4 linked regions of the Oreochromis niloticus genome follow. The protein of the gene in region 1 binds, or shares a complex with, the protein of each later gene. Links are inferred from orthologs where the notes say so. Each region holds a gene or a part of one and is shown in the gene's direction. Other genes may lie near its edges. The genes, in order: tert, nhp2, gar1 and wrap53.

The links.
Region 2: tert (region 1) and nhp2 share a complex: the UniProt entries of both Homo sapiens proteins name them as parts of the telomerase holoenzyme complex. The link is inferred for Oreochromis niloticus from reciprocal best matches to the Homo sapiens genes TERT and NHP2.
Region 3: tert (region 1) and gar1 share a complex: the UniProt entries of both Homo sapiens proteins name them as parts of the telomerase holoenzyme complex. The link is inferred for Oreochromis niloticus from reciprocal best matches to the Homo sapiens genes TERT and GAR1.
Region 4: tert (region 1) and wrap53 share a complex: the UniProt entries of both Homo sapiens proteins name them as parts of the telomerase holoenzyme complex. The link is inferred for Oreochromis niloticus from reciprocal best matches to the Homo sapiens genes TERT and WRAP53.

What each region holds. Positions count from the first base shown.
Region 1 is NC_031985.2:28,040,752-28,048,368, reverse strand, and holds the start of tert (telomerase reverse transcriptase), read left to right. Parts: upstream 1-4,349; 5' UTR 4,350-4,364; coding exon 4,365-4,667; intron 4,668-5,420; coding exon 5,421-6,687; intron 6,688-6,777; coding exon 6,778-6,967; intron 6,968-7,059; coding exon 7,060-7,213; intron 7,214-7,294; coding exon 7,295-7,462; intron 7,463-7,589; coding exon 7,590-7,617. Other genes in the region: histone-binding protein RBBP4, read right to left, coding at 311-388, 576-702, 803-963, 1,981-2,096, 2,342-2,515, 2,609-2,754, 2,852-3,002, 3,601-3,616. UniProt on the Homo sapiens protein: Telomerase is a ribonucleoprotein enzyme essential for the replication of chromosome termini in most eukaryotes. Active in progenitor and cancer cells. Inactive, or very low activity, in normal somatic cells.
Region 2 is NC_031975.2:32,975,663-32,983,340, reverse strand, and holds nhp2 (H/ACA ribonucleoprotein complex subunit 2-like protein), read left to right. Parts: upstream 1-4,272; 5' UTR 4,273-4,414; coding exon 4,415-4,577; intron 4,578-5,197; coding exon 5,198-5,267; intron 5,268-5,365; coding exon 5,366-5,471; intron 5,472-7,130; coding exon 7,131-7,256; 3' UTR 7,257-7,524; downstream 7,525-7,678. Other genes in the region: cornifelin homolog B, read left to right, coding at 2,066-2,168, 2,919-3,073, 3,185-3,307. UniProt on the Homo sapiens protein: Required for ribosome biogenesis and telomere maintenance. Part of the H/ACA small nucleolar ribonucleoprotein (H/ACA snoRNP) complex, which catalyzes pseudouridylation of rRNA.
Region 3 is NC_031966.2:13,610,964-13,618,822, forward strand, and holds the start of gar1 (H/ACA ribonucleoprotein complex subunit 1), read left to right. Parts: upstream 1-4,727; 5' UTR 4,728-4,867; intron 4,868-5,167; 5' UTR 5,168-5,181; coding exon 5,182-5,386; intron 5,387-7,130; coding exon 7,131-7,285; intron 7,286-7,394; coding exon 7,395-7,454; intron 7,455-7,529; coding exon 7,530-7,656; intron 7,657-7,859. Other genes in the region: alcohol dehydrogenase class-3, read right to left, coding at 1,241-1,379, 2,081-2,213, 2,416-2,676, 3,408-3,627, 3,717-3,804, 3,905-4,055, 4,206-4,307, 4,520-4,537. UniProt on the Homo sapiens protein: Required for ribosome biogenesis and telomere maintenance. Part of the H/ACA small nucleolar ribonucleoprotein (H/ACA snoRNP) complex, which catalyzes pseudouridylation of rRNA.
Region 4 is NC_031967.2:8,406,537-8,414,901, forward strand, and holds the start of wrap53 (telomerase Cajal body protein 1), read left to right. Parts: upstream 1-5,124; 5' UTR 5,125-5,358; intron 5,359-5,426; exon of another isoform or gene 5,427-5,606; intron 5,607-5,793; 5' UTR 5,794-5,970; coding exon 5,971-6,238; intron 6,239-6,336; coding exon 6,337-6,499; intron 6,500-8,283; coding exon 8,284-8,365. UniProt on the Homo sapiens protein: RNA chaperone that plays a key role in telomere maintenance and RNA localization to Cajal bodies. Specifically recognizes and binds the Cajal body box (CAB box) present in both small Cajal body RNAs (scaRNAs) and telomerase RNA template component (TERC).

The sequences.
Region 1 (7,617 bases):
TCCAGTTTCTCCCAGCCACTGACGTTTGTTTGTAGGACAAAAAGAAAACAAAAAAAAAAAAAGCTGCAGAAGTTAAAATATATTATTTAGATAGACTGCTAACTTACTTTAATATAATATTTAAATTTAGTAACCTGTTGCAGGCTGAAGGCAGCAGGTTGAGTCAAAAGAAGCATGTACTACATAAGATTTATTTCAGTGCTTTATTTTTAAATTTAAATGAATATAAAATATACAAAATTATATCACTGCACCATTAGGTACTGTCCTTATTTCAGTACAATTTCATTCATATAAAGAAACATCTTACCTGAAAGATCTCATCTTTGTGTGACTCAAAGGAATGCAGCTTTAGCTTCAGGTTTCTCAAGTCCCAAAGAGCCACGGTCTGTGGGCGGCACAGATGTATATTACAACATGCCTGCAACATTTTCTGATCTCTGCAACAACACTGCAGTTACAAAACTAACAATACCATCAGGATTATTTAGTGAACAGTTACCAAATGCACTCAGTTAAAAGTCCTGCTGTTAATAAAGCAGTACCAATTAAGAAGTGGTGGAATATTGTATCACCTTGTCTGCTGAGCCGGTGGCAACGATGAACTCGCTGTAAGGGTTAAATGACAGACAGTTGACCTCTGCTGTGTGGGCCTCCACTGCATGGCTGGCGTTGGAGGTATTGTTTGAACGAGTGTCCCAGCTTAAAGGACAAGACACAGGGTGACGCTCATCCTTTTGCTGCATTTGAAAAAACTGTAAGTGTGCTTCATCTGCGCGTGGTATTTGACCGAGAGTCTTACATCATAAGCTTCTGGTCGTCTGCTACAGATCCAAAGAGCGACTCGTGAAGCAGATGCCAAGAGACATCTTCAACCACAGCACTGTGACCGGTGAAGACCGTCTTTGCATTTACTATCCTGCTCTCTTTGGGAACAGCACTGATGTCCCACAGACAGATGGTCTAAGTAACAAAAACCACATAAACACATCAAACCTCATGTTTGCACTTCAGTTTGGTAAAAACGTGGTAAAAGTGGAAAATGATTGTTAACAGCAGGTTTTTGGCAGTGCACATTTTTTCATACCTTCCTGACATTTCATTGAGGTCAGTTTATGACACCATTTGTGTGGAAAAAACACTTAGAAGTCACTGTAGCTATGAATGTAAAGCAGGGGTCTCAAACTCCAGTCCTGGAGGGCCGGTGTCCCTATTGCAAACACACCTGAATAAAATTAGTAGGTAATTAGCCAGAATATAAAACTCACCTGCATGCTAAAGTGGCAACCCCTAACCCCTACTCAAGTAAATTTACGTAAATGTAAGTGTTTGGAAAAATGTACTTCTAAAAGTACTTTTATTGCACCACGTTCATTCGCTCATAAGCTGCTGTAACATGAATCAAATGGCTGAATTGCCACCTCAGCATGCAGTCTAAAAGTTCTCTAGTGTCTTGCTAATGACTTACTAATTGCATTCAGGTGTGTTGCAACAGGGACACATGGAAAAGTTGCAGGACACCGGCCCTCGAGGACTGGAGTTTGAGACCCCTGATGTAAAGGATCAGCTGAGTAAATGATTTAATTCACCAGCTGGCACCAGAAATGCTAGTTCAATCACCTAACTGTAGAAATAATGCTATGTGATAACTACAGTAATAGAAACTGCAAATGAACAAAACAGAGCAGTTTAATATTTAAATTAAGAGCATTTCCACGTGCACGTCACACAGACAACTTGAGGGATTGGAACCAAACAGTGAATGCAAACGGTCATGAAGGCTAAAGTCGGCCCACCAAAATATCAGTGTGTGTGACTTTTTGGCAAAGCAGTCTACTTTTATTTATGGTACTGGAAATACAGTGATTGAAACTATTATGACATAAATATGTAAAACAGCCCTAGTTGGAAATATCTGCTGCTAAAAATGAAAAACAGAAAGCGCCATTTCTTCTTAAAACAAGAACTACTTCCTCTTACGTGATCATCTGACGCACTAAGAAGAGCTCCTGACAGATTTGAATTCCAGGATAGACCATAGCCTTCTTTCTGATGGCCTCTGAGACGCAGATCAGGGCGACACTCTCCTGAAGTATCTAAAGACAACATAATAAAATCAACTGTCAATTCAGAGACACTGGAAGAGAGGTGTGGTTTTAAAAGAACTGAACAGACAAGTTTGTTTTTGAGTAGCGACTCTGTGCGCCCAGTATTTATGTTTTGGTGAAGTTGTATAATTGTTTTAATACCAGTAAGCTACCAATTACAATGCACTTTTTCATAACGTACTCAAGAACATGCCATCTTCAGCAGTGTGTTGTGCTTTGTGTGACTGTTGCACCTGGCTTTGAGGGATGCTTGGTGTAATCAAACACCAGCACATCTGAGGTGGGGGTCTTAGTGGCAATGATGCAGGGGTTCTGGGGCATATAGCGGGCACGGTTCACTTCTCCTTCGTGATTGATCTTGATTTCAATCTCAATCTTGCCGTTTACTGAGCCAAAGCCTCCAAACTCTTCAGGGAAATATAGAGAAATATGTTTGCAGGCTATAAGTATATAAAATATGAAGTAAATGCATTATACATTCTCTTTATCAATATACCAACCTCCTTTTTCACTGTCGTAGTGTGAGGCGTCAAACTGGGCATCATCATTGGGCAGCTGCACGCTAGCAATAACCAGGTGATTCTGCTCATCAGAAGTGTGAGTGCCCAAAACGAGCCTGTGTACGCTGTAATCCTTCCCCTCGGGCCTGGTAGGGAGAAAAAAAAAAAAGGTTTTTAATGCATTAATGCCAATTTCTTGCATGTTTGAGATATATTACCGGCCAAATGTGTAAACGCTTCCACCTTGAGACGTCAGGTAACCACTGAACAGTCAGGCTGGGCCACTCTAAGGCATGGGTCATAACCAGGTCGTAAAGAAAGGGGGTGTTTTTCTTCCAGATCTTGTACTCTTCATTGATGACCCTCTCCTCCACCGCATCATCAAAAGCACCAGCTGAGGACAAAATTGTCACAGAACCAGCGATGATAATTGGACACACAGTAATACTGTACTTTTTATTTAGTTACAAACACCCATCAGATATGTCCATAGCTTTCACTAACTCAAGCTGTTAGTTTAATATTAAATGTTGATGTTACTAGATTTATTTCTGTTACAGTTAATCAACAACAACCTTTAAAAGTTGGTCTTTACAGTCGACAAATTTCGCTATCAAATGATTTGACTGTTAACCTGACAAGGCCTCGGTATTTATCAGTGTTATGAGAAACTTCTCATTGTTCCCGCACCTTGCTACAGCGTTAGCATAACCATAAGATGTGAACTCATTTCTTCACCTCTGCCCGGTATTCACACACAAATCATTACCCCAACTTTTCAGAGACGGTGCCCAAACAATAACTGAGCTTTGACATCAGTAAAGTTCACCTTCACACTCTTAAATTATCCCCGCTTGTGTTGACTGTTATAGAGTAAAACACAAGAGCTACGGGCAGCTTGCCCTAGCTGCCACCTAAGCTAACCGGGCAACTAGCTGAGGGGCGTCAAACAGAATCGTTTCTTTTTGCTGACAACTAAAATACTCACTTACCTTCCTTGTCTGCCATTATGTTTCTCCCACGTAGCTGACAGAAAACTGAGAGCTGAGGTGTGGTTAAGGTGTACAGCCCCTTGAGCCTCGTCCAAGCTGGTTCTCCGGTGTGCCTGCAAACCCCCGGTACCGTTTAAACCACCGGAGGTACAACGGCACGCTAAGAACTAGCTAACCGAGCAGCCGACTGTGAGAGACGTGGGTGCATTCGCGCGCTCGGTACAAAGAGGGGCGTCTTCCCACCAATTACGGCGCAGCACCTGTGCGCGTGGCTATCGCAGACTCCGGTGCAGCTGCAAGTAATTTCGATGGCTAATGTATTGTTATCCTTAGTAAAATATACTGTTACAAACTGGAATTTATGAAGGTAAACACCACCCGTGTGGTTATTGTGTTTCTTGGGGGATTTGTCTGGACTTTAGCAGATGCACATCAGGTAGAGCACTATCGTTGTTGTTCTTCTGAAAGCTGCTGTTTGCGTTTTTTTAATTAAAATGTAATTTTAAGGTCACAGAAATATGTCGCTTTAACCGCCTGTGGTGCGCATATAATGCGCGTGACAGAATGAATGATCTCTGGTGAGCAGTTCTCATTTTAATGTATTGGTTCAAATCGCACGTGATACTGTCACTTTTTCACTACACTCGTGCCAAAAGACAACAAGCCTTTACCTGTTTGTCATTGGTCAACAGTAAATTTCCCCCCTTTAGTATGAGGACTTTTGATTGGCCAGCTCCAATAAAGCGCTTTCCCATAGGCTAAGCATGACGCGGGCCCTTAAAAGGTCAAACATAGCTAAATCCCAGTGTAAAGTAGCTAACCTCCGTCCAAGTGCTCCGAACACAGTCGGTATGTCTGCGACTGATATGTCCGGTGTGCTGGATATCCTTCGGTTACTGTACCGGCACACGCAGACACTGGAGGAGTTTTCGGACAGCATCGTGTTCAGAGAAGGACAGAAAGCAGCTCTCATTGAGCAGACAGATACAAACCGATTCAAATCTTTCGTTAGGAGTGTTTTTGTGTGCTTTGACAAGGAGCTACAGCAGGTAGCGAGCTGTAAACAGGTAACGTTTCGCCGGATTGAAAAATATACATGTACATTTCCCAGGTTAGTCCTGAGGAGTTGATACGCAGCCCTCTGTGGACGTTTGAAGCGGTGTAGCTAACTCTGCCTGCCATGCTGTTATAATGTTAAAGCCAGGAAACCATGTTACACTCCTATATTTTGAATATATATATATATATATATATATATGTATATTGAAACTAAGCTGGGAGAAAACTATGCGCTGCTGGAGGATATTTAAGCTTCAGCAAGGTCTTCTTTTTTCTTCTGGGGCACTTCCCCCCCCATTTCTCCTTTATTAGACATGTTTAAATGTATCCAGTTATAATGACAGATAGTTAATATCAGCCGATATATTCGTCCGGCTCTACACGGGGACACGGGGTGGGCCCCACAATAATATTGTAAAAGGGTTTTCACTGTGCTAAGTTATACGTGGAATATTTCATTTCAGGATCTTTCGAGTGCCATGACTCTTTGATTTAATGGCTCTGGTTTTAGTTAGTAAAGAAAATGGTAACTTTGAATCAATTTTAATCACATAGAAGAATAAAGAACTCAGAGTATTGTTTTGTAGCAGTCTCCGGGCTAATATAGCATAGAGTTATATTATATTGAAATGAGACTTGTGGTATAGATGCACACATCAGTAAGCTGACAGGTTTATAAGAGAGTCTGAAGTTTTGCCTTTGTCAGGGTTTAACAGCTTAATGGGAGATGGCTTCTTCTTATATATTCATACTTTCCACAGATCTGCAGTCTGCCTGAACTACTGGCGTTTGTTCTCAACACTCTAAAAAGAAAAAGAAAAAGGAATGTCTTGGCACATGGCTATAACTTTCAGACCCTGGCTCAGGAGGATCGGGATGCAGACTTCCTCAAATTCCAAGGCGACGTAACACAGAGTGCTGCCTACATCCACGGCAGTGACCTGTGGAAAAAAGTCACAATGCGTCTGGGCACAGACATCACGCAATATCTTCTGGAGAGCTGCTCTGTGTTTGTGGCAGTTCCTCCTTCGTGTGTTTTCCAGGTGTGCGGCCCTCCAGTCTATGACAGGGTGTCCATGACCATGGCCTCGAGTGGGTTTTTTCTCCAGCCTGGAGTCAGGAAACATAATCGTACCAAGATTGAGAGCTGTCGAGGGTCAGTGAGTTTGAAACAGAAACGCACAGTTGTGAATCCTGCTGCAAGCAAGAAGATGAAAAGAAGGAATAAAGGAGGGAAAAAAGGGAAAAGAAAACGGGAAACTGGTGAAGAGGAGGAGGTGGCGGTTTGTTCAAGAAAGAGGCGGCGAGTAGCGTCTATAGAACATCAACAGGCGATCCAACCAGTTGGCTCTGAAAAGGAAGGACAGGTTGTGCCTGTGGAATCAGCACCGCCTGCAGCTTTCAAACAGCCTGTTGAAATGCCAACATTGGAGGGCGGTCCTAGTTGGAGATCAGGGATTTTCCCCCCTTTACCACCCTCGCAATGTTTTATCCGCACCCTGGGATTCCTGTATGGGGGCAGGGGCATGCGTGGCTTTCTTCTTAACAGGAGGAAGAAGACTGCTCATGGATCCAGAAGGCTTCAAGGACAAGATCTGGTAAGAATAGTCTTCTTCGAGGGACTAGCGTATTTGAATGGAGTAGAGAGGAAGCCTAAAAAACTCCCCCAGAGGTTCTTTGGCATGGTCCCCCTGTTTAGGCAGCTCTTACAACAACACAGGAGCTGTTCCTACACCAAAATACTACAGAGGTTATGTCCATCAATAGAGGAGAGCAATGCAGGACAGGGAGAACTAAACTCACTCTTACCTCAGCACTGTGCACCGCACAGGGTTTACCTGTTTGTCCGGGAATGCCTCTCTTCTGTGATCCCGCAAGAACTGTGGGGCTCTGATCAAAACCGGCTGCATTTCTTTGCCAGGGTCAGGACTTTCTTGCGAAGTGGCAAGTTTGAGAGGCTCTCACTGGCTGAACTGATGTGGAAGATAAAGGTGAATGACTGTGATTGGTTGAAGAGGAGTAAAACAGGTGAGGTTATCATCAATGATCTTTTTTTTTTTTTTCTTTTTGATTGCTTCGTGTTTCATGCCTGACCGAACCAACGTAACTCGTCTGCAGGCTGTTTTCCACCCAGCGAGCTTGCGTATCGGACACAGGTCCTGGGTCAGTTCTTGGCTTGGCTTCTGGATGGATATGTTACAGGCCTTGTGAGAGCCTGTTTCTATGCAACAGAGAGTATTGGGCAAAAAAACGCCATCAGGTTCTACAGGCAGGAAGTCTGGGCCAAACTGCAAGACTTGGCCTTCAGGTACACTCACACAACATTACTACAGTAGCCAGCATACATACAGACATGAGGCATACGTCCAAAAAAGGGAACAAAATTTGCTTTTCATGTAGAGGTCACCTTTCCAAAGGCCAGATGGAAGAGCTGACTCCAGCTCAGGTGGCATCCCTGCCCAAAGGCACCGTCATCTCCCGCCTTCGCTTTATTCCCAAGACTGATGGCATGAGGCCCATCACACGAGTCATAGGAGCAGATGCCAAAACAAGGGTACGCACCGACAATTACCTCAGACTTGTCTGTTATTACATGCTGTGGGCTGGATTTTCAACTTTTTTTTCCTCCCTACAGCTCTACCGAGGCCGTGTCAGGGACTTGCTGGATATGCTGCGGGCCTGTGTGCGTGCCACTCCATCACTGCTGGGGTCCACAGTGTGGGGGATGACTGACATCCACAAGGTTTTGTGCTCTTTGGCACCAGCGCAGAAGGAAAAACCACAACCCCTCTATTTTGTTAAGGTGAATTTAATTGTTTGGCAGAGAGCTTTCTATTTATTTTAAGGATAATACAGCTGTAAATTTCTGCACAATAATATGGACATACTGTACAGGTAATATATAATTTAGCTTTTCCTCTTCGTTTAAGGTGGACGTGAGTGGAGCCTATGAGAGTT
Region 2 (7,678 bases), on another chromosome or scaffold:
GTTGTGTTAGCAGTGCTGCTGCTTCTGTCCTGGAGCACTCTCCATTTTACCATCGCGCTCCTTTTGAGCAATGACATAAAAGTCACGTGCACAGCTGTGTGGCTGCACTGCTGCTCTGCTGTCCGTCCTGCAGTAATGAAATGCATTACTTTACTGCATTACTGAGAATGTGATTATAGTAACGTAGTGAGTGATGATAACACGTTACACTCAGCACTGACTAATGCAACAGTTTATGTTAAACTGCATTACAAATGTCTCAACCAGTTTAACTAAATAATCAAACTTGTTTTTAACACATTTTAAATGAACGAGATGAGACCTCTCCACAGATTTATGTATTAAATCTAAAAGTATGCAGGTGAGTCAGCAGGCCCCGCCCACCTGAACTCGTTCATCAGGTTTATCCGAAACCTTCATCTCTCCAATCAGAGCGACCACATCAGTCACACAGGTAAGATGATCACACTCTGCTTTTATATCATCTCATTATTGTTCAGGTTTCAGTCGCAGCAGCTGGGTTTGTTGGTTTGTGTGTGTGTTGGCTGGTTTGTGGGTCTGCTGCTCTTTGCTTCTTTGATGGTTTGAAACAGTTAATCTAACATTCCTGTCACGTTGCCTCACATGAATGTTGTTGTTATACCTTTAAATTGTTCCCTGAGCAGCTGGTGGAACTCCACACCAAACTCCATGCAAATATTGTCTTATTTTACCCATGTCTGTGTACATCCACTGATCCCAGTCTTGGCTTGGTGATGATGACTGTAGAGCGTGTGATGAAATATTTGGTATTTTCATTTATCCTCACTGCGTCCACAGGATACAAACGGGGGGGATTCTCTGTAGTTCTCACTCTGGGTCAGCACACCTGAATCACATGATTCGTTCATTACCAGGCCTCTGGAGAACTTCAGGACATGTTGAGGAGATAATTTAGTCATTTAAATCAGCTGTGGTGGATCAAGGACACTCGAGTCCTGGTGTAGACGGTGATGAGAACTCAGTTACACCTCAAGCTTCATGTTTTCTCAAAACTCAGCAGCAACATTTGGATTTGATAAGACTTTAATGTTGTTTGTGTGAATTGTGTACATAGTTTAACGTAACCTCATATTTCCTGTTTGTAAAATATCAAAGTAAAAGCTTGAACTCGTGATAGCTGCGTGATCATTTCAAAATAACAGGAAGTGGACCTGACTCTTTGGACCGTGGAGGTTTGTTTCTACTGTACATCTTCTCTCCTCTGTGGCTGCGTCGCGCTGTTAGTGCCGACTTTCTCGGATGTTTCTTGTTGTTGTTTCTCCCGTTGCTCACGCGGCTCTCTGCATTCCTGTAACAGTGCAGTTTGTAGATAAAGTCTCAGTGCTGGTTTCTGTGGGACTTTATCAGTGCGTCACATCTCTGTGAACGAGTTTTGGTCCACTCTTCTTTACAGCTGCAGGTCATTGAGGGTCGCAGCATCCATGCACAGCTCTCTGAGCTCTGATCTTTGGTTCAGGTGCAGCTTTGCAAACCTAAGTCAAGCTGGCGTGCTCTTTCACCTGGCAGCTCTTCCAACCACGCCATACTTTTCCATCCATTCATTTCCTGCCACCTGTGTCCGGATCGTGGCAGCAGCTGTCTAAGCCCAGGCTTCCCTCGCTCACACCAGCCAGGAGCTGTGATCCCGGCTCTGTCCTGGGGCCTCCGTCAGTACGACGTGCTTCAAACGCCCAGCAGGAGCCCAAACCTCCTCGACTGGCTCCTCTCGATGTGGAGCAGCGGTTCAGGTTGGAGCTCCTCACCCTCACCCTAACTCTAGGAGAGGATTCGATCTTTTTCTCATGTCCTGTCATGAACTTTGAACTTTGACCTTTACCCTGCTAACTCAGGGAGGCAGTGACCCATGTGAATAACTTGTACTAATGCACACTTGTGATGATTATGGAATCTGTTAATAAATGACCTTTATAACTTTCACTAACTGGAATCTTCACTGAGCTGTCTGCTGCAAACAGCTGATCACTAACGACCGGGTGCCACAGGTGTGACTGAGTCCAGGTGTTTGTGTGTCGTCAGGTGAACAATGAGCCAGCCGGTGATGACGCAGCCTCAGCAGCTCTTTGTTTCCTCGCTGGAAGCTGATTGGGCTTCAGGGATCTGCGACTGCTGCGATGACAAGAAGCAATGTAGAGTAACACACACGCTTCATCCAATCAGAGCGGACTTTACTGATCCCACACCGACACTCGGGACCAGACTAACAGCTGGACACGAGCATGCAGCTGACGCTTTAACAGCTCATAAGAATTATTATAAGAATCTAATTGAACATAGACAAACAGACTTGTTCTTTAATTTATCAGTTTTCACAGAGACAACATCAGCTGTCATCTGTTTTCCTTTGATTTTAAATAAGTTTATTGTTTTAAATACATCAGAAAATAAAGAGCGCTGAGGTCACATGTTCATTCATTCAGACTGAATCTGTTTAAACCTAAAAATGTCCCACAGCTGCTAAGGCTCTGCACCAAACTCCATTCAAAAAGCATCAAATTATCATCAGTGTGTGTGACGTGAATCCATCCAAAGACTAACACATCAGCTGATGTTGGCTTGGTTTTACTCACATCTTTAAAAAACAAACACATCGTCTGAACCTAAGTAGTGACTGCAAGTGTAAACAATACGTTTATTTGTTAAACAGAAGAAAACAAAATCATATTTTATGATTGAACTTTTTTTTAATCAATTATAAAGAAATTAATTCATTCCTGTTGTGTAATATTAAACATTTAACTGAAGTGATGCTGTTTTTATTTTTGTTATTTATAGTTTGCAATTTGTTGCTTTTTTTTTCAGTTTTTTGTGTTACTTTGTTTCATGTTGTTATTCAGTTTGTTTTTGACGTTGTGTTTGTCGTCTGCTGTCGTTCCCAGGCTGCTTTGCCTTCTGGTGCTGTCCCTGCTTCGCCTGTCGAACCACCAAACAGTTCGGTCAGTGTCTCTGTCTCCCCCTGCTGGACGTGTTCGGCTGCGTCCATCCCATCACGATGTCCATCAGGGTGTCGTTGCGTCAGCGCTACGGCATCAAAGTACGACCACGAGGTGGCGCTGAGACGCTCGTTTGGTTTGAGTTAGCAGCCGCTAAGCTAACGTTAGCCAGTGTGGCTCACTTTGTTTGTTCGTTCGTTTGTTTGTTTCAGGGGAATCTCTGTACCGACTGTTTGTGCTCCACCTTCTGTCTGCCCTGCGTTTGGTGTCAAATGGCCACCGAGATGAAGAAGCAGAAGCTCCCCACCATGTTCAGTGACATCATCAGCCAGTGATGATGTCATCAGCATGAAGTCATTGCCCCAGACCGGCCCGTCACAGCCCAGCTCCGCACCAGCAGAAATCAATAATCAATGATCATCAGTGTTTACTGCATTTATCACTTATTTGTTTTTAACAAATCTGTTGTTTTGTTCTGTTGTTCATCTGTTTACTCGATTTAAATGGTTGTTAGCTTAAATTCATTAAAATTAAATTCATGCTTGTGACTGAGCTTAAAGATGAATCGAGACTGTGGAGAGAAGCTCAGCTCAGATCTGATATTTAATCAATGCACAAATATTCAGTTCGTGTGAGCTTTGGAAGGTGATTTCAGGATTCAGAATTTACATGAAATCATTTAAATGATTTTACACAATTCAAGTTTGGCTTCTAGCCAAATTCATTACTGACAAAATAAAAACCTTTAACTTTAAAAAATGGAAATTGTATTTAACCTTTTTTTTAATTTCTTCCAGATCAAATGTAATTAAATAAATACTCTGAATAATGTGTCTGTGTATGTGGAATCAAAAGCATTCATTACTTTTCATTTAGCAGTTTTTCATTTTATTGTCGTGTCACTTTGCAATAAAACCTGATCATTAAGTTTATAAGGAAATATTAATAACGAACTCTCTTCAGATCATTCTGATGAGCAATAATTAATTTTAGTGCGCGTTTGTTTGTTAGCTTCATGTAATGAAAGAAAACTGTCGAGTGTCCACACAGTGAAGCTGGTTTTTAGGTTTTAGGGGGAAATTATTTCCTTCTTGCCGAATCCAAAACTTTCCACTTAAACTTTCACTTTTTTAAATGTTATTATTTATCTCTTTATAAACATAGATATAGATATATATTTACGCTGAATATTTCTGAAGTGTCAGTAAAATTCTGACTAAACCTAAAAAATGAAGTTTGGTATTTTATTTTGAAGGGAGGTGCTGCCGCTGCCCTCCGGGCCGCTGGTGGCGCTGTTGTGGTTCAGCGTTTTCACAAACAGCAGAGAAAGAGGCTTGAAACACGTGTGGGGTCTTTTCTGTGAGCGTGTTGTGATCAGCAGGCAGGAGTCCGAGCAGAAAACAATCAAACGGGTATCGATTACCAGTGATTATCGATCAAAAATGACGAAGGTGAAGAAGGAGAAAGTTTCGGAGGAGGGAGAAGAAGCCGGTACCGGGGGCACCGAGAGGTCGTACCAGGAGCTGATCGCTCACCTGAACCCGATCGCTCAGCCGCTGGCCTCCAAAAAGCTCAGCAAGAAGCTCTACAAATGCGTGAAAAAAGGTGAGAAGAAGAAGAATCCCGCTAACGGCCGGGAAATGTTGGAGATTACTGTTCTGTGGCGCCGAACTCTGTTTAAAAATTCACGAATTTAACGATTTCTTTCTGCTCTGCAGTTGTTAGAGTCGATGCAGGACTTTAAATAAGAAAGTGTTCGAGTCGTTTGAAGCCTCTGGTTAATTCGGCCGTAAACACGTCGCTTATAGATGCACAGTTTGTAATCTATTGGTAATTTTCTGTGGAAAATCAGCGGCTGTTTGTACAGCTTCATCCTCAGTGAAAGGTTCAGTCAGACCCGCTTCCGGTTTCACTGGGCGTTTTAAAAGGCAGCTGCATGTGCTTTTATTTTGATGCTTAGCAGAAGTGTTTTTAGTATGTGAGGAAATCTCCTTCACAGTTTGGTTTGGGAGGGAACTTTTGTTGTCGGGAATCATGTGAACGATGTGTTCACACTGCAGATGTTAAAGCTTTAAACATCCAGATGTGCTCCTCCTGACTTTAAATGCAGTTTGCAGCTGGTCTGGGCTTGAAGAAGGCGCAGAGCCTTCATGTTGCACTTGAGCTTAAAACTGCAGGTTTTTGACTGGAGTCTGGTTTAATGTGTCTCTGCTTCTATCATCCAGCCGCCAAAGTGAAGAACATCCGACGAGGAGTCAAAGAAGTTCAGAAGTTCATCAACAAAGGAGAGAAAGGGTGAGTCGCTGCTGCTGCACCTTTCAGCACGTCCTCGGGTGTGTCCAGGTGTTCGTGACGATCACAGGTGTATTTATGTGTTTCTGATGTGTCTGCAGCATCGTGGTGCTGGCGGGCGACACGCTGCCCATCGACGTCTACTGCCACCTGCCCGTCATGTGTGAGGACAGAAGCCTGCCGTACGCCTACATCCCGTCTAAAGTGGTGAGTGACAGTGGACAGGTGTGCTGAAGGTCTGTCACCTGATGGGGGCGGGCTCTGAACGCGTTGCTCTGTGAAAGTTGGATGGGCGTGGCTGAAACTCAGTCTGTGCTTGCAGAGCGCCGCTCACACAGCATGTGTGTGCACTGCTCGCTGCACTCTCCTCAGCGCAGCAGGAAAACGTTACTGCGCGCACAAACAGTCGACACCAGTGTGTCTCAGAGCGCTGTGTGTGCCACGCCCTCTGTAACAGCAGCTTAGCAAAAGTTGATTCTGTTCATCTGGATGTTTTCAGTGGGAGAAAGGTTTCATCATCATCAGGTGACTTCTTCAGTCTCAGCTGACTGCAGGTTTCCCCAATCTTATAAACAGTACATTTGCATAATGACTGAAACCAGCCCACTGAAGGAACAATGTGCTGGGAGGTCAGTTCCTTCATCATAATTATGCAAATTCTCATGACCACTGATCAGCGGCCATGAGCACCACTGAAAACGCTACGTCCAGAATCAACTTTTGCAGATTTACTTACCTGGATGATTGAGCGTGCATCGAGACGTTTTCAGTAGAAAAGCTTTCTTGCATGCAGATCAAACCACCAACCTTCTGATTAGTCGATGACCTGCTGAGCTTCAGCCAATCAACTAACGAACGTCTGATCATGTGAGACGTGAGCACGCGTCAGCTTCAGACTCTTATTTTCAAATCTTTTGTGATTTCCTGACTTTTAGTGTTGGGATAATTTCTCTTATTTTGAAAAGTCTGTGTGCTTCCAATTCAGTTTTATTTATACAGCAACAAATCACAACAACAGGCTTTTCAGGGAGTTTTTAGGACATCCTGATAATAATGAATTACAGTAGTCCAGCCTGGAAGTAATAAATGCATGAACTAGTTTTTCAGCATCACTCTGAGACAGGATATTTCTAATTTTAGAGATGTTGCGCAAATGGAAGAAAGCAGTCTTACATATTTGTTTAATATGTGCGTTGAAGGACATGTCGATGGGCGATCGTGGCTCAAGAGTTGGGAGTTCGCCTTGTAATCGGAAGGTTGCCGGTTCGAGCCCCGGCTGGGACAGTCTCGGTCGTTGTGTCCTTGGGCAAGACACTTCACCTGTTGTCTGCTGGTGGTGGTCAGAGGGCCCGGTGGCGCCAGTGTCCGGCAGCCTCGCCTCTGTCAGTGCGCCCCAGGGTGGCTGTGGCTACAATGTAGCTGCCATCACCAGTGTGTGAATGGGTGGATGACTGGATGTGTAAAGCGCTTTGGGGTCCTTAGGGACTAGTAAAAGCACTATACAAATACAGGCCATTTACCATTTTACCATTTACCATGTCCTGGTCAAAAATGACTCCAAGGTTCCTCACAGTGTTACTGGAGGCCAAGGTAATGCCATCCAGAGTAAGAATCTGCTTAGATACCATATTTCTAAGATTTTCAGGGCCGAGTACAATAACCTCAGTTTGATCTGAATTAAGAAGCAGAAAGTTAGCGGCCATCCAGGTCTTTATGTCTTTAAGACATTCCTGCAGTTTAACTAATTGGTGTGTGTTACCTGGCTTCATGGATAGATAGAGCTGCGAGTCATCTGCATAGCAGTGAAAGTTCTGACTTTAAAATCTTTTTTTATTTCCTGACTCTTATTGTGAAACTCTGTTCCAGGACCTGGGTTCCTCTGCGGGCTCGAAGAGGCCGACCTGCGTCATCCTCATCAAACCTCATGAAGATTACCAGGAAGCGTATGACGAGTGCTTGGAGGAAGTTTCCAGCCTGCCCAAACCCCTCTGAAGCCCCCACCCCTTCATAAGCCCCACCCCCAAAGGAACAGTTCTTCCTCCAGCTGTGCTAACAGTTTCCATCCACTGCCAGTGTTTGTGCTAAGCTAGGCTAATCCAGCAGGAGGATTTAAATCCAGACCAAACAGACTTCAGATAAAGAACGATGTTGATGTTTGAGTGAAAAATGTTTAGTATAATCGATGTATTGATCTGTGATCAGGTAAAGGCAGATGTTTCACAGATGTTTTTGTTTTTTCTTATTAAAGTCGTTAACGCTGTGACGCGTCTGAACTCGTTCCTGCAGCCGCACAAACATCTTCACTTTTACACTTGATGGATCACGTCGTCTCCTCTCCTTCATAAAGGATGCTTCAGTGTCTCCTCAGCTAAAGGAGGCAATGAAGGAAGCACTGAAGCTTCCTCAGAATGAGA
Region 3 (7,859 bases), on another chromosome or scaffold:
AACCCTATTTTTAAGGAGTTTCCATGAAAATCTCCATAAATTACCTTTCTCAGGTGAACCTGATCTCACACTAATGAAAATTGGTGTGTGTTACTCTTACTTGCAACCAATGAAAAGCCTCTTCTACCCAGTCATAGGTGAATCGCGTTACAGTATCCCCTACTCTACAAGTATATATATAATGTAAACCAACAGACAGGATTGGCATGAGGTGCATACTGAATCTACAAAAGCTTGTGATGACATCACAGCAGAGTCCTGCAGAGGATGGATTCGCCACTCCAGGAGATACTTTCCTCGCTGCATTGCGAGGGATAACATCTGTTGTGATGTAGATGAAAATATGTGGCCAGACAGACAGGAACGTCTGGATGTGCCAGAATGATTTACTGTACTGTTACATGTGCTGTTTATTGTTCACATTAGTGCACAGCTCTACCAAATGGGTGATTTTATGTTTACATGTATTCTACAGTGAACAAGTGACTGTAGCATATTTTTCTTTTGCACAATTCTGTAGGATTACAAACACTTCTACACAATGGAAATGTGAAACGTACGTATTCAGTGTCTCAGTTACTCCCAAGACTCCCATAACATCTACAGTGACTTCACTGCACATTTCAGATGGCTGTACAGGTAGGCCATAGTGCTGTCGTCAGCATTTTCAGGTGTCACCAATTGTTTTTGCAATGGGAAACACTGAAATTATAAACTGTCATAGTGGAAACATGACAATGCCATTTGACTATCTTGTTCATACAGATGGTGTCAAGACTTTTCATTTTGATGGCACTGGCAGTTTCATTGACATGGATACTTGCTTTTGCGGTATGGATAATCAATTCTGTGCATGTGACGTGCTTTTGCAGGCTATCCACTAGGTTTTGCAGTTTGCACTAATTGTTTTGGGAAATGCACTAACTGCTGTGCAAATGTTGATGGTGTTCTGAGAAACGCACCAAAGCGACTGAGAAAAACTGTAAGGTCACACTATACCAAATAGTATTTAAATTTTTATGTCCTGGGAAATAAGTTTCTGAAATTATTTCTAAAGATCAATCAAACTGAATCTAGTGATTTGTTTAATCAAACAGAACATGTTAGACAGAAGTTAAAGATTTGAAAATACTTTTCTTACATATAAACAATTTTGTCCCTAAATAGCAATTCAGTCCTGATATTTATGGCTAAGTAGACTTTTCTGTTGTTGTTTATGTACACATATGAAAGGTCTCACCTTTTACCACTTTTTAAAAGGTCAAAGGCCTTATTGATTTGAACCAGCGGGAGCTTCTCCGTAATAAACTCATCCAGTTTCAACTTGTGATTCATGTAGTCATCCACCAGTTTAGGCACATCCTTCACACTCTTCCACCCTTTAGAAAAAGTTAACAAGCTCAACTTGTAAACATGTTTTCATGTAATATGAATTGCACTGTTGTAAGACCGTCCTGTGGTCACATTCACAGCCAATTCGCTGCACATCAGATGTGAGTTTGATGTGCTCATAGTACATGAAACATATGTAAATTTATTGTTACAAATTGTAAAAGTGATTATATAGTTTATGTAGGATATACCTAACTGTCTGTCCTCACTGAACTTCTTATATACGTTTTGAACTCAGGAACCAAAAACTGTTGGTTATTTTGACAGAAATTTAGATGATTCATCGATTGTTTAATTTATTAACTGAGCACAACTCAAGACTTTTTACGTATTCTCATTTTTCTGTGGGTTATTAAATCGTACTTCAATAATATTTAGGTTCAGGAATGTTGATCAGAGAAAACAAGCAATGATTGTTTTGAATGCTTTACCTAAAAAAAATTAATAAAATAAAATTATATTACAACCAAAGCAGTTGTAATATAATTTTTAACACATTTTAACTATTAATAATCCAATAGCAAAGTTTTTTACCCCAACATGACATTACATTTTGCCCTGGCGGACAACATTAGGGACAGTTTTTCAGGATGATACACTCAATTTTATGTTCATCACTCAAATCTACATTTACACCAGAAATGCAATTAAATAATCTAATATGTATGGTAATTTTTGTTTACTTCACCTCCAAAATAAGTGCCCTTTAAGGTACGTCCCATGAGAAGCTTTTCAACTGAAATGCTCATTGTTTCTGTCTCTGTCCATCCAGCAATGACACAAGTACCCCAGGCATCTCTTGTGGACTCAAGTGCAGCATTCTATGGTGACAGAAGCAGTTGCTTAACTAATTATCATTTTGTATTTGTATCATTATCTAACTCTTTCACTTGTGTCACTTTTTGCAAAAGAGATCAAATCTAGGTTAACAAAGAAGACATTGTACAGTGTACTCTAATTATAGTCACAAGACTTAATTTGCATTGACACAATTGCATGCCAAATTTCAAATGAGGCACCCACCATGATAGCTGGACTTCCAACACACTCCAGCGCATAGTCCACACCTCCACCCGTCATCTCCACCACAACCTCTTGGATAGGCTTGCTGTAATCTCTTGGGTTTATACAGTCTGTCGCTCCAAACTGTCGGGCTTTCTCAAACTTGTCAGGGTTGATGTCAACCCCGATGATCCTTCTCGCAATGGCAACCTTGCAACCCATGACGGCAGCCAGCCCAACAGCTCCAAGCCCAAAAACGGCACACGAGGAATCTTTTTCAACCTGAATGCACAAAAGTTGGAAGCCAGTCAGCTAATAGTTCTTAAAGATCATTTCAGCGTTTTCACAGATAATTTTTACAGCAAATATAACATTTAGAGTACATTCCTTTAAACACATACATGAGATATTATCAGGTCTGTGAATCTTGATTAAAACTATGTCTAAATAAATAACCCATGCAAGGATTTCCACGCATTTTTAGTTGGTTTCTTTTTAGTAATGGAGTACAAAAGTGTCCTGATTTTGTCATTTTATTTATGTTAATGTGTGTGGACCTACTTTTGGCTGCTCCCTTATTCACAACGGGTCACCTCAGTGACTTTGGCGATTTTTAAAGCAGATTCCTTTCCACATGCAGCCAACACAGGAACATGTATTTCACATGTTATACAAATGTGTAAACCATTGCACTATGGAACTATTTTACATTATTTGAATTTGTGTAAAGTAGTTGACATGTACACCTTATCCAGAAAACTTAGTGGCACTCGTGTCATTTCTGCCCTCTAGTGTTGATATTAAATGACTACAGTCTTGCAGCATATTGTAAACATAAAAAAGCAAAAAACTTCCAGATACAAATATCACTATTTTTTCTTTTTTTTTTTGGTTAAAATATCCTTGGCTGTTTATATATTGTCATGTTCATCAATATATCTTTTGAAATTTGTTGCTTCGTCACATCTGTTCTAAGAGTATTAGTTTGAACCTTTCGAATTCAGTTTTCTAACCTTGCCTGCATTAATAGCAGCTCCATAACCAGTGGAGACACCACATCCAAGCAGACAGACTTTGTCTAGCGGTGCATCGCTTCTTATCTTTGCAACCGAAGTGTCAGGGACCACAGTGTATTGAGAGAAAGAACTGACTCCAAGGAACTGGTAAACCTGCTGTCCCTTGCAAGATATCCTGCTAGTCCCATCAGCCAAAACTCCAGCTTGCATATTTGTCCTAAAAGACACATAGAACAGTATTTACGTGAACACATTTTAAGTAATAGAGTAAACGTGGTTGTCTCAAAAATGGGGAAATAAAATCACCAGTTTTTCTTGCAATGATTTGTTTTTGGACTTAGACAGCGTTCACATTCCCCACAGTATGGCAGAAAAAGAGGAATAACTTTGTCTCCTGCGAAAACAACGAAACAATTATGTAAGTCTGAGAAGAAAAAAAAAAGAGAAATAAGATTCATAACAAATGTCATCTGACTGGTTGTGGTACACTTTACCCGGGGAGACTCTAGTGACTTCTGGACCAATGCTCTCCACTATGCCAGCTGCCTCGTGACCAAGTACTAAAGGGAATGGTCTGAATTTCATCCCTTTTCCAGTCTCAAACAGGTATTCCCAGTCTGTGTGGCACACACCCGTGGCAACAACCTGTACAAACCAAATGATGTGCCAAATGATGTGACAGTTTCAGGAAGTGGAAGTAGTCTGTGGTTAACAGTCACACTAACAGGAAATAAAATAATCATATGTAAATCATACTTATTGTTGTATTGCTGACAAATTTGAGCTGTGCCCAACCTTAATTCGGACTTCATGAGCTTTAGGTGGTGCCACCTCCACTTCTTCAATACAAAGAGGCTTCCCGGGCTCCCACGCAACAGCTGCCTTGCATGTGATCACCTAAAGGGGAAAAAAACCCAAACCAAAACAAATATGTTTCCAAAGATGAGTGACTGTGTTTGGGCGCAGTTACAGATGCAAACAAACAATGAACACTCTCCATGACAGAAAACTTTAGAATGAAAAGCAGAACCCCCAAAAGCAACAGTAGCTGTTTATAAGACAAACAGTAAAAAAGAAAAAAAAAAGCTTAAAAACAACTTTTTTCTTACCTTTCCATCTGTTGCCATTGTTGGCAGATGATGTCTTCATATAAAACAGCCTGTATTTGAACAAAAAATTTAAATAAAGGAATAATTAAATCTGCACTTGTCACCAAAACAGCTTCGAGTTACATTATATCAACATTTGAGTGGGTAAAGTTGAACTGACCGAGTCAAACAGCAGACAGGTTGCGCCCTCTTCTAATTCTAGTTTTTCTTCAATGGTTTAGCTCTGTCAGCGCATTTACGACACTTTCCGAGACCGCCCCTTGCCTTTACGGCACGTTATGGTCACACGTGTTGTAGTCGCATGGAAGTTGGCACAGCGGTCTGAAGTCTAGGCAGTCGGTCAAATTTGTGAGTAATTGTCTTTATCTGTGCAAAATCCGAGTTGCGCACTTTTTCGGTGTGTATATTTTTTCAACGACTACGTATCGTGTTGGTTTATGTTAGAAAACTCCGATGGATTTTCGTACTTTTAATAACTGAGTTGTGCTAACGTAAGCTAACCACTTCAGCTAGCATAAGCAATAGCTTCCAAGTCAGCATAGTTTGCCCGAATCATGGGCAGGCTAATTCATTCATAAGTGTTTAGCTTCAAGCATGAACTCACGTGAGCTGTGTCGTCTTTGTGTTTTTATAATTTCTTATTTACAGTGCATTTGAGGAGAATGTCTTTCAGAGGAGGAGGACGAGGTGGTGGAAGAGGTGGAGGTTTCAACCGAGGTGGTGGAGGATTTGGACGAGGTGGAGGAGGATTCGGTGGAGGCAGAGGTGGTGGAGGATTTGGACGGGGTGGTGGAGGATTTGGACGGGGTGGTGGAAGAGGGGGTTTTAACAGACAGCAAGATTATGGACCTCCTGAGTATGTTGTTGGTAAGCCCAGAGCTCACAAAACGCTAAACCGAGTGTTTCTTTATACACATGTGAAGCTAACCTTTTACCACAGCTTCGCGTGAATTCTCAGACAATGAGATGCAAGCAAACCGTCTTGATATTGCCAAAAAACTGACTCTGTAATATTACCATTACACAGTTATGGGGAAGTGGTGTGGCTGAGTAGGTAGGCTGTGACAATTTTGTCCTCATCAAAGATGGAGACTATCCCAAGGATATGGAAAACAAGACCTGTGTCCTGTTGCTCTTCTTGGTGCATTGTACTGTAAAGTCACCACGAACTAGTCTGTGCAGTCACAAAAAAACAAACAAACAAACAACAAAAAAGAAAGGCAGGCATGCAGATGTCCACACACACCATCTTGCCTGAATCTATGTAAAGGCCATGTAACCTATGTAAGATGACATTATCGTGCCAGCATTTACCATGTTAATTACTTTTGTGGTAGAGTCCTGGCAGTTTACATGTGGTGCCAGTCACGATAGAAACAAACAAAATACCAGAAAGTTTTTTTCCCCTTCTGGCTTGCCACTCTTTGCTTTGTCATTTTTATATTTGTTCCTCTAGTATTTCCACATCTTTGTACATTTCCCTAGTGTCCATTCCAATAGTTTTGACAATCTCCTTCTAGGAATTTGCTGCCATTTGTGAGTCCGTATTATGGTTTTTATTCCTTTAACAGATCCTTATATTATTATTCTGTCATTGATAAATTCTAGCACTGCATCAAAAAAGTAGCCAGAAATGCATAGGCGAAATCAACGGTATTCAACAGGCCAATCATGGTAGTAGTGGCAGTGTTGATGTGACATGTAATTATATTTCTATGTAGGTGCATATCAGTTTATCAGGGTAGGTTACATTATAGGGTTTCTCAGCGTCTGCTATGTACACTATTGCCCACTGAAGCATAAATTTCCAGTCAGTGTTAGCAGGCAACTCTAAAACAACGGTGGACCTTTGGGTGTGTGTGAATGGAGAACTTCAGTAAATATTCTATGTGACAAGAGTATGAAGTTAATACACCGTGTGTCACCTACATGAGGAATTCAAGATCCAGTTCATGTTAATTAACTTTAACTACATGTTTCCAAGTTGTCCTAAATACACCAGAAAACAATTATATTTCAAAGATGTTAAATAATATTAGTAATAGTATTATTAATATAATAGTAGTGGTGGTGGTGGTGGTGGTAGTAGTAGTAGTAAGAATAGTAATAATAAAATGAGCAATATGTAAGTGTTTAAATTCAAACTGCATTACAGACAAAAGATCAATCTTTTATATATTTAATGATCATCCCACAAAATGTGAATATAACATGCTGTACCAGGAGTTAGGTTGCCATCTAATATATTTTAAGTCCACATTGTAATATTGTTAAAGATGTATCTGTGTTTCTACTCATTGGGCTGTTCAGAAACAGATTTTTTTTCCAACTTATTTGATCTTTTTGTTTTTATATGTTTATATTCTAGTGCCTCAAAGTTTCTGTTTTAGCATATATTCTGGGTCACTTCCTTTAACCCCCATTTATTCCCCTGGCCTCCAAAGAATTTCAGACGTACAGAAACCTTGTGCTAGATGCCCATAAAGTGAACTGCAGAGCAGTCAAGCATATGCTGACTTATTATAACCAGACAGAAATTTAAATTGGTTGTCAGTCATGGTATTGCACGTCTTAAACTTTAACTGTTTCATTGTCTTCACACCCTTCACAGCACTGGGAGAGTTCATGCATCCATGTGAAGATGACATTGTCTGCAAGTGCACAACAGAGGAAAACAAGGTTCCCTATTTCAATGCCCCAGTGTACTTGGAAAACAAGGAGCAGATTGGGAAGGTGGATGAGATATTTGGCCAACTCAGAGACTTTGTATCCTTTCTATTGTCTTTGTTTTTCTCCAAACCTTTGATTGAACTGGTGGTGGGGATCTGTTTGACATTGTCAGTGTTCTTGTTGCTTCCTTAACCCATCTTTGCAGTATTTCTCAGTAAAACTTTCTGAAAATATGAAGGCGTCTTCATTCAAGAAACTACAAAAGGTACCAAAAATGTCTCAAAGTTTTCTAGTGATTAATTTAATACCTCAGATTTCTAACCAAAATGTTGGCTTTTAGTTTTATATAGATCCAATGAAGCTACTACCACTGCAGAGATTCCTCCCGAGGCCACCAGGAGAAAAGGGGCCTCCAAGAGGAGGCAGAGGAGGGGGTAGAGGTGGAGGAAGGGGTGGTGGTCGTGGAGGTAAGATGGCATTCTCATTTTAATTTAATCTTCTGGCTAAGTGTTTAGAATAGATAACAAAACAGACATTTGTGTTTTTGTTTTTCTCTAGGAATTATGCTCAGTTTTTGCTCAGTATTTACTTTTGTAGATTGAACATGGAAATAAAGCCTAATGCATATTTAGAGTATGGCATGCAAGAGTAGTTTGATTAATTTTACTTT
Region 4 (8,365 bases), on another chromosome or scaffold:
ATATTTCTAGTTGAGTCTAGGGGTGATCCATCGGAAGGCTTAGTCCAGCGTGTTTTTCCTGGGGGGTGTGATCACGTTGCCTTTTGTCAGCTCTCGAACTTGTGAATGAAAGGTGTCGAGTTTCTGACTCTGAAATACAAAAAACCACAAAAAAACAATTAAAAAATACAGCATCTTAATGTGCGAGTGCACAGAACGGTGCATGAAATGTTAGCATATTGTGTTACATATTCGTTGTTGCAATTTGATAATGACGAGTTTTCTTTTTTAAATGAAAAATATATATAAATATATACATTATATACAAAGTTTAAAAAGTATTTGGACTAAGATGAGCACTTGGGGCTGCTATTTTTGTTGTGTGTTTTTAATTTTCTTTTCCTTAATTTTTTTTTTTTCATTTTTTGCCATGTGAAGTGTGTATTATTTTTCTTTTCTTAAGAAAATATTGAATGTATTCCAAAAAAAAAAATGACAAGAAACCCGTGCTGATACAAGATTTTGTTTTTGTTCCTCAGAAGATTTCAAAAATGGAAACAAAACCGAAAAAAGCTTCAAAGAGTTGAGCGGGGTCTTTTTTTTTTTTCTTTTTTCATTTACACAGTGGAGGAGAGAGAAAAAACTCGAGATGGATACAGTTGAACACACTGCCTCTACAATCCTGGTCGTACAAATGGTGACTAAAGAAAGGACTCTTTCTATTCCATACTGGAGCTTTGGTTGTTTACAAGCCACATGGATATCTGTGGGTGCAGTTTTATTCTTTTGTTTTATCTTTTTTTTGTTCCCACATGAGACGGGTGGGGTTTGCAAGTGCGCTTCTGCCATAAGGACATTGAGTGGTGTGGTGGTGTTTTTGTTTTTGTTTATTTTGTTTCGTTGTTTTTGAGGAAGAGTGGCAGGCATCACAACAACATGGACAGGATCCTCTAACTGGATCTGTGTCGTGGGTCCTGAGACTTGATCAGCTGTGGAGCGGAGGCAGAAAAATCAAGGATGGGGCTGTGTTTTGTGGAGAACCGAGTGCAGGGCTGCAGAACCCTGGAGGGGGAACTTGAGAGGACGATGTGAGCGCACCCGTTCGGTGCCCTCGTCTTCACCTCGGCCCTCGAAAGCACTCGCACCCTGCCCTCACCGACTCACCTATGCACTTTTGTTCATTCAAGCTGTGAGGTACAATTTTGGGGATGGGAGCACAATTACAACAGGAGGATTGCTACGACTTTGACAAAGTCACTGAAAAAGAAATTCCCAAACTGAAATAAGAGACTCGAGAAGCTCGTCTTCTCCCACCTCCTGTACATAACCATATTTTTGTATTACCTTTCAGAGTAGAAAGAAAAAAATGCAAAATGGATGAAGGAAAATTCATTGATTATATGGAGTGAATGTTCTTCAAGAAAACCAATCTTTTTTTAAAAAAAAATCTAGTTTGAGATGGGACTCGCTGAGAGTTTAGTTTGCCAGTAGCCCTGAAGTAATCGGGGAAGGAACGTAAAACCACATGGACTGAGGTGGTGGCCATGCTGCAGTGGCTCCAAGACTGACTGATAGCTACTTATCAAAATGGATGTTGCAGTGGCTACAAAGAGCCCACCAAGAGTGTTTGATCAACACGCACAGTAAAGAGATGGACACTGATGACAGCCTCAAGAGCTGCAGAGTGACCACCGGAGGACAAGTGCTTGGCATTGGTAAGATGTTCTTCCAGAATTTTGTTTTTATCCTTTTTGTTTTTGTTTAATGCTTTTGTACAGTGTTAATTTTCACAGCAAATTTAGTCTATTGACCAAAACTTTTAATTTTAGTCATAATTTAGGTGCTTAAATTATTTTAGTTGACTAAATATAAGACTATAGTAAATCTAAAATCGTCGTGTTTTTACTGGTGAGCGGCGCTCCACATGTTTTTGCAAAACCTCTTATTTTCCTTGACACGTGTCTTCTCTTCCTCTCAAGCCTCAACATTGTTGCTTTTTCATGACAAAACAAGGATGGGAGTTAGTTGTCGTTTCCCGCCACCTCAAAAAAAATAAAGAAAACGTACTGTTTCCCGGGGCAGATCAAATTTGTGCGTCTAACCTTACTGCACGAGGAGATTACTTAATTTAATGAATTGGTTCTGATTGGATCTAGTCTCTCCAGAATATCTTAATCTTGTTATTTGCTGATGAAAGACAATAACATTTTCATTTAGTTATTGTCTTGTTTCCATCAGCAGTAAAAAGGTTGCTGACAAACAATGACAAAAATTATTGGTCAGTGAAGCTTTCGTAAAGTTACAGGTTGCTTTCCGCACCTTCATGGATTTGTTAAATTAACTGATAATTTACCATGGCAAATTTAAAATTGTGGTAGATGATCATTGTAAGGCTGTAATAAAACTGGATGTAGCAGCCAGAATAAAAAGGTAAGCCAGTGTAGTGTTGCCGTAACTCGCATTCTCGCTAACGTCCAGCAGAGGGCGTTTGGAAGGCTACAAGATAAAATTAAGCTTTAGTGTGACTTTATAAGTCCTTCCTGGTGAAAGACTTTGTGGTCTCGTGGGCATTTCCAGTCTTGCTGAAACTTAATGTTCATTTAACAAATTTTGGTGCCGGTTAGCCTGAAAAAGTGGGGTAGCCTGTGAGTCTGCTCTGATGTCTCAATAAGTGCTGACCCTTGTTCATCACAAAAACATCACAGTGGAAATATTCAGCTCAAGGCTTCACAACAGAACTTTTGCAGGCAATGAATAACAGTTGCCACTTCCATCATTTATATACAGTCCTGTCCTCTGTTAATGCCTGTGTCCAAGTTTTGCTGATGATATCTTGCGCTCTTTCTGTGTTTTCACAGGAGTCTGGCTGTGCTTTATTTGCTGCCCTCTGCAAGGAGGATCTTCTCTACAGCCAGCCCATGAACCAGTGAACCCTAAACCTGTCCCTTTGAACTTAGACCCTAAGAAACTTTTTTTGACCTCAGTCTGGGCAGGCCAATGGCATTATACGTTGGACAGATGAAGTTACAGGTTTATCAGCTCTTCATCCCCTTTTTGCTGGAAGTGTTTGGTTAAGGATTTAATCTCACACTCCATCTAAGAAGAGGATACAAAGGCTTGCGTTGCCCAGAAGTTCATCATCTACCCCAGCCGGAAAACTCTCGGATGGTGGTCTTAAAGGTCTTCTAGCCATTAGGACCGACAAGCCGCTCTCCTGCCCAGATGTCAGAGACAGTGTGCTGGGACGAGTTTTGGTGGACATGGCCGGATTACATCTCAGCCATCGCAAAAGGCTGCAGCTGTGGAACTGGATGAACTGAAAGAATTGTACAAGGAAAAAAAGGACTTTTGAAAACAAAACACAAAACTATCATATGTCTCACAAATTCTCAAGTCCAAAGGAGCAGGCAGACACACTACATGCACACTCACAGCTAAAGTTACATTGGCTCTCCTCTGGAACAATGTCTACACACATGCATACACACACCAGAGATACACAATATCAAACAACACAAAGACACACAAGCATCAACGCCCAGCAGCATAAACGCTGAGCTTTGTAAATAATGTAAAAGTTTGTGTTTTTGAGTTTTCTCCATAATGGCTTTTGCTTTATTTCTCTGTTCAACATGCCTTAAATTGTATAGTTCAGTCTGAAATGGCTTACTGAAAACATTCTCAGTTTAAGTTGGAAACCACCTCGTTAACTGTACTCTAAAGAAGGTTTTAACAAGACGTCTGTTCGCTGACAGACTTGTCCTGTATAAAAGTGTAAATGTGATCTACTTAAAAGATACTAGTTAACTAAAGAATAGAGCAATGAGGGCTTTTTGGTTGATCTAATTTTACTGGTGGTTGGATTTTTGTTGCCCTTTTTTTTTTTCATTTTGATTCAAATAAAGTGTGGATTCGTTGAGATTTCCTATTTAGATTACTGCTGAAGGTGCAGGCTTGACAAAGGGCTGAAGTCTGTGCTGCCTGGAGCTGGGCTTACTGGGTAATATGCAGAGGTTCATCTCAGAGCACGCGCTTGTTGCTGTGTCGTATCTGTCGTTGGATACAGTCCTCGGCAAAACTGAACCAGAATGGCAGGTCGTCCTCAAATTGATTTGTTTTCTTTACACTCCAGGGGAATAAAATGTTTTAGGAGTTGGATCTTTTTACAGTTTTGACATAGTGATTCACACTTGTCTAATAGGAGTGCTTGTAAGAACAAGCATGTATGATTGTTGGTAATATTTGTGGGTTTGACACTAAAATCTGTATCTAGTAGTGCTGCTGACCATCAGTGATGGCACTGAATCGATACAGAAGCAACCGGGCTGTGGTGTGTCTGAAATCTGAAAGGTCTTCTCGGACCGCGTCTTTACTCTGTCTCATTGAATTTAAGAGATTCGTGTTTTTAGTCATTCTGTAGCTTTTGTTTTTTCCTTCTTTATAACCAAACATATGCAGTTTTTTATCCAAATGGAAACTGATGTTTATTGAATACCGTCAGTTTAGACTTGTTAAACGTTTCTGATCAACTGTGGGTGTGCTGTGCAGTTTTCTTCTATAGGTAAGTGAAATAGCCACAGTTGGCATCGTCATCGTATATCATAACTGTTGAATTGATATTGAATTATTATTTCTTAAAATGTTATCACATTTTTTAAAAAGCTGATACTGTGATGGATGAATCATCAGTCTATTTTACTGCACTACAAAAGCTTTTATGATCAGAGAAACCACAGTATTGTTTCTAAAGACCCTGGTTGATGAGCAGCTTGACCCGCCTGCTTCAGGATAGAAAGTATAGATGTAAAGATTACCTGGTTCAGTTTTGCTGGTTACTGTAATACCGACTGTAATGATGGACTCATGGTTATACCCCAGTCAGCCCAGCTCTTTCACTTAAATACGTCTTTGAATGTTGGTAAAATAACAGCATACATGTTATGAAAATGTTTTGGAAAAGAACTGAAAAGAAGTGTAAATAGTTTTGCTTTTGTTTGAAGAACAAAATAAATACTAAATAAATAGCATTTAGCTGTGACCGACTCTGTGTGTGTTCTTTAGTTATCTATGAAGTTTGAGTAAAAAGCCGAGAAGACATCTTGTTATGAATCACGCCTATCCGCACATAAGAGATTCACCACTCACTGAGCGCGTCTCGTCCAATGAACTCTCGCGATAGTTTGAAGCACATGGCCGCCCGCAGTGTTTACAACTCGTAATGAGATGGTGAAGGGAAACAAAGTCCCGAAGCAGAAAGACGTCGATTAGTTTTGTGTGTTCGGTCCTTTTCTCCGGCTTTTGGTGAAACTCTGATTCCGCGGTTTTTGCTTTTCGGCCAAACCGCGAACACAACTAAAGGCCAGGCAAGCCACAACACAGGTATATAGCATCAGATTGCTAACGTAGGCTAATGCTAACTTGGGCTAAAGTGTGCGCTCCGATGTGAAGGGACGCTCAATAAGAAGCTAAAGCAAATTTCGCTAATTGATTTATTTGCCAGAATCATTCACTATGCATAATAGCAACCGGGCGTGTAGGAAGTAATATGTACCACTCAAGCTTTAACTTGACCAAATAGACGTGAATGCTAGTTTGGTGAGGCAGCTGGCAGTCACGACTAGCCACAGGTGTGTGCTGTGAGGCAGTGACGTGCTCCTCTCACAGCAGCTGCACGTTCACTTTATCGTCAGTCTGACTTAACGGTTTTTTCCTGGTTTTCGTGAACGTGCTCTCATGCTCTTCCGTTGTTTTGACGGGCTCATTGTTGGTCTCGCTTTTCTCGTCTTCATGTTTTCTCTACTCACTGTTTCCTAGGCTGGTGGGTGCTGTGATGTCCTCGTACCCCAACAGACTCAAACATCCACACTGCAGGAGGAAGCACTACCCCAGTAGCACCTACCTCACCCACGTCTGACAGCCGACCGCTGGACACCGGGCGCTTGAAAGCTGGGTGGAGGGCTTCACGGGAGAGAGAGGGGGAGGTAAACAAAGATGTCAGACTCTGCGGGAGGTGGTGAAAGTGGAGGTGGTGCAGGGCAGGACTCCGAAGCAGATAATGAACCCCCTCAACAGCCTCCACCTTTACTGCCTGGAGGTGCAGGGGAGATCTCAAAGGAAGGGGCTTCGCCATCTGCCAAGAGGCTGAGGATGATTGAGGAGGATGTGGGGCAGGATCAGGTTGTGGAGCCTGTTCAGAGGCATGAAGAAACACCAACACAGCCTAGCTCGTTGCAGGGAAGGCCAGCCCAAAGAGCAGAAGGTACAGGATTGTTTCTGTTTTAATTCAAGCTAATATGCATATATTAATATAGATTAAGATTACAGTTGACCTGTGTTTAATCTGGCTTCTGTTGCCAGGAGCAGGAGACCTGCTGCAGTGTGAGGAGGGAGGTCACAGTGGGAAAGGGGTAGTAGTCGTCGGGGAAGAAGGAGAATACCATCAAAATGGAGAAGAAGGGCCAAAACCAGAGGAGGAACACAACGATGATGGATCTGCAGAAAGCCCCGGTGACGGACAACAGTACGTGGAAGAAAAAAAGGTTTAAATGTAGAGCAAGTTTGCGATATTTAGGCAGAGTTGACATACAAGATGTGCATTCATAAAATTGCAGAAACTGCTAGAAGAGATCCGAGAAGCTTCTTCAGTTCTAGGGTCAAATGGTGGCGAGTCCCAGATTTAAGCCCTGTGGGAGTGTCCCCCGAGAGGGACAAAAGGACCCCCTGTTGATCCTCTACCTAATCATTTTCACACCTTGGCTCATGCCATTAGGTAGAGGATCAACAGGGGGTCCTTTTGTCCCTCTCGGGGGGATACTCCCACAGGGCTTAAATCTGGGACTCTCCACCATTTGACCCTAGAACTGAAGAAGCTTCTCGGATGAGAGGTGAAAAGTCTTCAAGCAACTTAAAGAAGTCCAGACGCTTTTCTTTCTAAGCTCTTTAGACCATTGGCTAATGACTTTTCAATCAAAAGAATCAACCAGTGAGTGTGCAGTTTCACGGTCTAGACACAATCTCATCTGGCCTTTTGCACCCAAGATGGCGACAGTGGAAACGCTCATCTTGTGGCTTCAGTGCAGGACTTCAAAAACCAGCAGGTAGCTTCACAATAGCTGTCTTTGTGAACAACAGGTGGGCGGGGCTTCTGTACTCACAGCCAGAGCTGCGTCCCTGAAATGACCACAACAGTGGTATTCCCTGTCATACAAGTCGCAAGAGTAGAAGAACCTCTCTGAAACGGAGCATTTAGAACAGTGTTTGTTTAACACTGTTTTTTCTTCATGCTATGAAAAACATAGGGTCATACTGTGATACATGAAATCTCCGACTAGGTGTTTGTTTGTCCCCCAACTCCTTCTAGGTGACCCGGAGCTGAGTAACCAAACTTATATCTTGGGCCTCTGAAGGTTCTTATCTGTATTGGACATTATAACAACATCATGTTGCCTAGTAACTACATTAAAATTATCTGCCTAGTCACCAAAATCCTTTGCATAAAACATCAAACAAGAATTTAAGGTGACAGGATGTATTGCATGTGTCAGGTATGGTCCTCCCATACTCCAGAGGCATGCATGTGGGGTTAATCGGTCATTCTAAATAAGGTGAGACTCTGTGCATGAACGAGTTTCAGTCTCTCTGTGGTGGAAGCACAACCTGTCTTGGTTGTAACCTCTAGTCCTATGTGAGCCATGATAGGCTCCAGCCCTCAACTATATAAGCAGTGCAGAACTTGGTTGAGTGGATAGACGCCATGTACCGATGGGAAGTTCTAAAACGATTAACAGTCTAATCAATGCAGTCAACATGTGTTTGAAGCTTTAAGTTTATCAGTGACAGTGAGAGTGTCGTGTGTAATGATGTGTTGTTAGATGTTGATAAGTGCTTTTTTTAATTGACACTCATGTTTAAGTGGGGCAGCTAAAAGCACCAGAGCATTAACTGATTCATCATTTTGAGACTGTCAGTCATCATTATGCTAAAATTTGGAGAAAATGACCCAGGATGAAAAATAATGTAGTCAACTAATAGGAATCTAATTAACAATCAGCTGTAGTGGCACTGTGTGTAAATGAAGCAGCTTATTACTTGGAAGTTTCCACTGTGTTTTATATACAGAGCATGTTTGTCTGAGGCTGGGGACTTCATTGGATGATGTGTGCCTAAAATAGCAATGAGCTTTTAAATGGTCTTCAATTATAAACCTTTAAGTGCTCATCTGTTAATAAATGTGAGATATAGCTTTTAGTGAGCTTGTTGGGAGCCCCTCTTTGACCAAGGACGTCCTTGTCTCTCTGTCTCCAGGCTCAGCTTAGATTTTACCCAGAACCCTCAAATGCTGACTGGTTCCTGGACCGAGTACTCCAACCTGCCGGAGAACTACCTG